Kluyveromyces lactis: one gene and its partner. The protein of the gene in region 1 interacts with the protein of each later gene in a pairwise test. Links are inferred from orthologs where the notes say so. Each region holds a gene or a part of one and is shown in the gene's direction. Other genes may lie near its edges.

Evidence for each region.
Region 2: the proteins of RKM1 (region 1) and BCP1 interact in binary tests that used the Saccharomyces cerevisiae proteins (3 or more experiments, as listed by UniProt). The link is inferred for Kluyveromyces lactis from reciprocal best matches to the Saccharomyces cerevisiae genes RKM1 and BCP1.

Annotation. Positions count from the first base shown.
Region 1 is NC_006038.1:207,067-211,171, forward strand, and holds RKM1 (protein-lysine N-methyltransferase), read left to right. Parts: upstream 1-1,617; coding exon 1,618-3,402; downstream 3,403-4,105. Other genes in the region: IPL1 (aurora kinase), read right to left, coding at 1-882; KLLA0_B02376g (uncharacterized protein), read left to right, coding at 3,811-4,105. UniProt on the Saccharomyces cerevisiae protein: S-adenosyl-L-methionine-dependent protein-lysine N-methyltransferase that monomethylates ribosomal protein S18 (RPS18A and RPS18B) at 'Lys-48' and dimethylates ribosomal protein L23 (RPL23A and RPL23B) at 'Lys-106' and 'Lys-110'.
Region 2 is NC_006041.1:1,911,446-1,914,355, forward strand, and holds BCP1 (protein-transporting protein BCP1), read left to right. Parts: upstream 1-1,485; coding exon 1,486-2,304; downstream 2,305-2,910. Other genes in the region: CTM1 (cytochrome c lysine N-methyltransferase), read right to left, coding at 1-903; EAF1 (Eaf1p), read left to right, coding at 2,804-2,910. UniProt on the Saccharomyces cerevisiae protein: Involved in nuclear export of the lipid kinase MSS4 and of the 60S ribosomal subunit. May also play a role in directing MSS4 to the plasma membrane. Plays a role in actin cytoskeleton organization and vesicular transport.

The DNA of each region.
Region 1 (4,105 bases):
CGATCCAACTAATAGCTCATAAGTTAGAACTCCTAGGGCCCAAACATCTACTTTATTGTTATATTCTCTAGATTTAATGAGCTCTGGTGAAAGGTAATCTATAGTTCCGCATAAAGTCTTCCTCTTTTGTCCATCCTCGTTATATACACTCCAACCGAAATCTGTCAGTTTGATAGTGTTGTTGAAACCAATTAAGATATTCTCCGGTTTTATATCTCTATGCAATATGTTTTTACTATGCATATAATCCAAGGCATTAGCCATTTGATAAACAAAATAGGATGCCAGCGTCTCATTCAAAGGCCCGTTATTCTTCAAAAATTTATATAGTTCTCCGTAATAGACATATTCCATAAGTAGATAAACCCGTTTTTCGTCGTAAAAGAATCCATATAGCTGTGTCAGATTTTTATGTTTGAACGAACCCTGAATTTCTACCTCCCTCCTGAACTGTTTCTGAATTGTATATTGAACAATTTCCTTCTTTTCCATCGCTTTTAAAGCACAAATTAGCCCCGTTTCCCTATGTTTAACGCAATAAACTTTACCAAACTTACCTTTACCTAAGATCTTACCTATTTCAAAGTCCTGAAGTGTCATGTTTTCAAACTTATCGTTGTGATCATTCAATATTGGTACGCGGGTACCATGCGCGGTGTTGGGTTTCTTTACCATTAGCGATCTTCTAGGATTGTTGTTCACTGGTCCAGTGCTCAACCTATGATGAGACGAGGTAATCGAGTCTTTTTCATGTGCGTGTCCTCGTGATAAGCTAGGTCGTTTTCCTGCATTACTTAGTCTTATCGATAATAGTTTACTCTGCTGTAACAATGAATGCCTTCTTCCTGTATCACTTGCATCCCTCGATAACGATGGTCTCATGTTCAATATATTAATCTTGATGTCTGATAGTACCGTTGCACATCCGCCGTCGGATCTTGACCTGGCTTTATGACACAGTTTTACACTCTTCAAGGTGACGTTCTTTAACCTGAATCAGATTCATTTCATTATTTACATTTTCCCTCTCCAAAGGTAAACAAACGGAATCCATTATAGTGAAGCAGAAGAAGACGTAGAAAGACATAGACCGCGATAGATCTAGTATAAAGCTATAGTTGTCAAGGCTAGGTGATTGCTTTTCACTTTTGTCATTTGTATGATATGCATAATGGGTCTTTTTGATTCTTGATGGACTTATCGTGTCCCCGTTCTAGCATGAGTTTTTACTGTAGGCGCTATGTCATGTAGTAATCATGTTTGACCAGAAATAAACTTTCATCATTTAAATTGAATCCATAGTTATCAGTGAAGAAATTTCAGTGTATTTAGGGTAGCACGAACTTGGTCGAAGTAATCCGTTGGGAAACTATAGATCAAGAGGAATAAAGAGGCCTCAAATCGGCTCTTTACGCCATGGTAGTGATGATTCAGCTCGCAGATCTTAAGGAAAAAAATGAAAGTTACCCTACCACACGCATTAGCGTAATATTTACGATAGATTACTGATGCACATGAGATGAGCCGTAAACTTCAAGGAGGACAACTATCTTGATCCAGGGGAATGCCTATCAAGTGCTCAAGTTTCGAAAGCTACACGACAAAGATATATTAATAATGGATAAATTGGACCAATTGCTGGCATTTGCCAAGGACAATGGAGTTTCACTTCCACAAAATGTTGGATTTAAGAACGTGGAGGGGAAGGGTATCTGTTGCATTGCTAGTGATGACATAGAGCAAGCTGTCTTTCAATTGCCCAGCCATCTGATAATTACCAAGGATCTTTCGAACAAACACTTTAGAGATCAAGTGAAAAGCAAAGAACATCACAATACATGGTTGAAACTGTTTTTGAGCAAGCTAAAGTTTTCAGATGAGATGATCATTTTGGATAATGAAAACATCACAAAGCTATTCAGACCATACATTATGGCTTTACCATCACAGGTAGATTCTCCGTTGGGATGGAATCCATCTGAGCTTGCTCTGCTGAATGGGACAAACCTTTACACATCTCTAAAGGAAAAGCTACAATCGATATACGACGAATGGTGGAATGTCATAGAGGGGACTTCTTTTCAAACGCGACAGTACAACATTGAACAGCTCAGTATTGATGAAATATACGAGCAAATAACGAGTAAAGTATTTTCTGAGAAGATTTTGGACTTCTTCTCTTTTCCAGCGTTCTTATGGTCTCATCTAATGTTTACTTCAAGAGCGTTCCCAGAGAGAGTAATAAACCCATATTGTGATGAATATAATGTGATATTATTACCAGTATTAGACCTTTTAAACCATGAGAATAGATCAAAGATTCAGTGGTCATGTTCCAGTGAAGGAAGTTTTATATTTGAAAAACTCGAACCAGTTTCAAAAGGAACTGAAATATGCAATAATTACGGTGCTAAAGGAAACGAAGAGTTATTATATGGATATGGATTCGTAGTCGATGGGAACGAATTCGATAACCTTGCATTGAAACTCAAGTTGCCTTTACCAGTAGTTGAGAAGATTTTAGCAGATGGTTCTGTATACCTTCCAACATTTGATGACTACACAACTTACGCTTTCGATACAGTAAAGGATACCCGTGGAAACCAGAAAAAGACAAACGATACCAAACCATTGAAAGCCCTGGAAAATTTTGCTGATGGAATCCTTTATTTTATCAATGCTGATCTAGAAAATTTGAAACCGTTAATGGATCTTTTCTCACTTCTGAGTAAAAACGATAATGAAAGTGCACTATCATTAAGATGCCAACTGACAGCACTACAATCGTTGAAGAATGCATTGAAACAAAAATTGTACCTAATAATTGATGCAGAACCATTGGAATCACAAAAGGATTATGCTACATGTGAATATAGGAAACAATGTGCGGCGATTTACAAATCCGGGCAAATCTCGATTCTAAAGGATTCTATCAATAATATAAAGAGGTTACAAAAACACATACTGACTGCCTACAAACCATATCTAGCAAGCATAAAGAGCATTATGAAACATGACCGGGATTTTCAGAAAGACTATCACGAACTATACGACCAAACCAACAATGCCGCACCGGCAGATTTAATAGATGAATTTGAATATGCAGTCGCCTGGTTGATGGTGAGAACTCAAAAGCTCGCACGCAGCAAAGAAGCTTCCGAATACCTCTGGGTACAAGATCAATTTACTAATTACTTCTCACATTACACCGAAGACTCTCAAATTTCTAACGCAGGAAAAAGTCTACATAACTATTTCTTCCCCAATGGTAACGATAGAATCTCAGTGAAAACCATGGACTGTATCGCAACTTTTATCAATAATGAGACGTTCCTCATGGAATCATCCGCTTCGAATTCTGTGCCAGTATTTACAAAGTGCATAGACATCCACTACTCCTAAACACTCGATAAAGATTTTAAGATATTATGACCTCTCCGGCTTGGGTGCCCATTTAATTGCCTGCTGAGTGAGCAATAACAAAATCACGTGACTTCAAATGCAAAAAAAGAAAAGAATAATTCGGAACCATCGACTGAACTGGTCTGACATCTTGATTCTATGTAACAGTATGAGTATTTAAACGACAGTTCCAAAATACGTTCCAGTACTCGATTTCGACAGCAAGGTATTTGTCTATTCGGAATAGATTTAATAGAAGCTCAAATCACGCTAACGAGGTTTCGCAGGTTGCTGTTAAGACTTTACTGTTTTTTTCGGGTGTTTGATTCTACTAGTCTTTTTCGCTTACTACACTTTGATCTCTTATTAAGGACACAAATCCATACATCGCAGAATATTAGGCCGACAATGAGTGTGATATCAGATTCTAGCGTAGCTTTGTTTAACAAAATTCCATCTGGTGCGGTACTCTCCGGTGTTGTACTTTGCTATCTGTTATCTGGTGGTAGAGTCTCCATATCTCTAGCTCTAATTATAAGCTTCTTCATCCTCAAGAAGCATAGTTTGGAAGTATCTGAGAGTGGTGATGAACTAGAGAATGAAACACCCAAGAAAAAGAAGGGATGCTGTGGTGGTAAGAATGGTGGATGTTCCAGTAAGAAACTGGACGAATTTGGCATGCCAGTGAAGAAGAACAAGGGAT
Region 2 (2,910 bases), on another chromosome or scaffold:
ACACCAAACTTGGACATTATTGGATTTGGGTAAGAATCCATAAATTTGTTCAAAATGGACTAGCTCTTCCACTGGAGCATAGCTTATAAATACTTGAGCTTCTTCTACGGTAGAGTCAATATCATCCAGTTCTAAATAGAGCACAATATCATTAGTTCTAAGATCAATATCAAAGTGAGCATTTCTATGGTCATTGTCATGATTAACAAAGTCCAATAACGGGACCAAAGTTGGGCTGACAAAAAAATCATCAGTATCCTCTCCGGAGGATTCGGGTATCTCCAATATTCTGGAGATAACACTACAATAAACAGTGGATATTAATTTTTCATAGTTCATACCTAGAAACCTCGCTGATATGAAACGGTTTATAATTTCAATGAACAGTTGTTGAGGAAAGTTCAAGTACTCTTTGTAATATTGGTTCCACTTATCGGCATCTTCTTGAAAAGTATTGCAGGGAAGTGGGACAAAAGTCTTTAAAAGAACTTCGTTCAAGTAAAAAGATGCGAATCCAGTAAGTTTGTAAGTTTTATTATCTGAAAGAATAGCCTTTAGGACCAAATATATCACTATCAGGTTCGTTTCATTGATAAATGCGTGGTGATTTTCATCGCTTAAGAAAGCTGTCAAGTGGCCCTTTATGGAAGCAGTAACCGCATTTTCTGATGTACTTTTAGCCAATATGTCTCGTATCGATGTCATTGATATAGTAGCAGATCTCGGAATCCTGAGAAGTTCAAACTTACTGTCTTTCTCTCCTTTAAGTGTTCTTAATTTGGTGAAATTGACAAACACACCGTAACCGCCGGTGTCTCCATCAACCACTGACTCTCTGATAGTAGTACATTCACTCTTGGTTATGGGAGTATTCTCTAGTAGCCATTCAGTTGCTGCTTCCATCTTATATTGCTGTTTGTTTATGCTTGTTTATGGATATTATTGCATCATAATAATGGTACTCAAGCAAGCAGGATACTTTTTATATAATTCCATTGATATGACATAGAAGAAACGAAGCAAAAGGTTTTACAGTTTAATTTAGGTCAGGTTTGAGAGTTGATTTAAGTAGGGTGTATATATTGAGTAGTGCTTTGCAGTTGCACTTCGAGTCGCTAGTGATATGTTCCCAGAGGTATCTTAAATATGATCACGTGCTTCTAGATGAACCATGACTCCCCTACTGCAGTCTTCTAAAAGATAAAACTTAGGATTACCGTAATAGCAATTCGCTGTACACGATAACAACTGACAAGGGACTCGCTGATTGATATTTTAATTATCCCTTTCATTTTTACATTCTTGACAGCATCGCATGTCATCTTTACCTTTTCGAAAAGAAACTATTCTTTAAATTTGATGCAAACCTGCATTTGGCGAGCTCATCACTACTTTAGAATAGATTCGAGGAAGTTTCAAAGAGATAAACAATAGTTATTAGTTGGGCTTTATTAAACCAGCAACAACACTCTATTTTAGTCTGCAATGGTCCAGGTTGTTAAATTAAGTGCATTATCCAAGAAACGTGCAGTCGATGAGGAATCTGATCTTGACATATCAAGTACAGACTCAAATATTTCAGACCAAGAAAACGGTCAAGAGGAACAAGAAATCATCAACATCGATTTTGATTTCTTCAATGGTAATCCCGACGTTGATTTCCATGCTTTGAAGAATCTGATGCGTCAGTTGTTTGGACCACAGGAATCGAACAGAATTCAACTAAGTGAATTGGCAAATTTAATCTTGGACTCACCAACTACTACCATCAAAACCGATGGTAAGGAGTCTGACCCATACTGTTTCCTATCATTTATCGATTACAAGGCCAACAAAGATAGTGATTATGCCAAATATCTTCGTAAAGTTGACCCCAAGCTAGCTACTTTCCTACAAACTATAGATCAATCGGAGAAGACTTGTTCGTTAGTCTTGAGTGAAAGATTGATTAATATGCCACCAGAAGTTGTGCCGCCATTGTACACTATCACATTAGAAGATGTGAAGCTTGCGCTTGGGGATGATAAAAACTATGATTTCTACCTAATCGTTTCAAGGAAGTACGAAGTGAATTTTGATATGGACGAAGACGATCTAACATCGAACCAAGCTGTCCGCAAGAAGGTAAGACAAACAAACGAAGTAGACTATTTCCATGAAGAAGATCGTTTCCTTGAAAAGCTAGCCAAAGTCCATGTGGATTCCGAGGCGAGAAAGGGTCTTATTACATCGTACATGGTTTTGGACCATGCTGGACTAATTAAATCCATCGAAGATCTAGATGCGGCCATCAAGACCTGGTGAGTGATGTAAATGTTCAGTAGTTACATTGAGGAAGGTGATGATGGTATGTGGATTAATCCCGTTCTGGGAACCCAACAATTAACGCACGTGACCTGATCTTTAGTTACCCTCCTTACATGATTTCGGCCTCCCAAAAGAAAAAAAAATCTTTCAAGGAACAAAAAAATTGCTGAACAACATGAAATACGTACTTATATAGTAGAAATCGAGAAAACAAGCCGTAATACGGTAACAGAACAGGACCGTGAGAACACTATTCGACTCAGTTTCAAAAGTACCTGACACAGAAAAGCCTTGTTTGGTTGGACGATCCTGTTGTTTGTACAGAAGCGTGCTGTTTCCGAGACAAGCCCTCGCTAAAAGAAAAATCAGAGGACCCAGTTTCCTTTTTTTTTTTTTGGATATTTTCCTATCACTTGCCATTCAGACCGAAAGTTATATTTTTTCAACGTGACAGATATTCACAGAACATCTAATAGAAAGTAAGGATTTCAAGGCGATGAGCAGTGCAAGCAAAGGGAATGCTACTGGAAGTAAGAGCCCAGAGCAGCTCTTAGAGGAGAGACGGCACTTGCTAGTACAATTGTACTGTATCTCACAAATTAC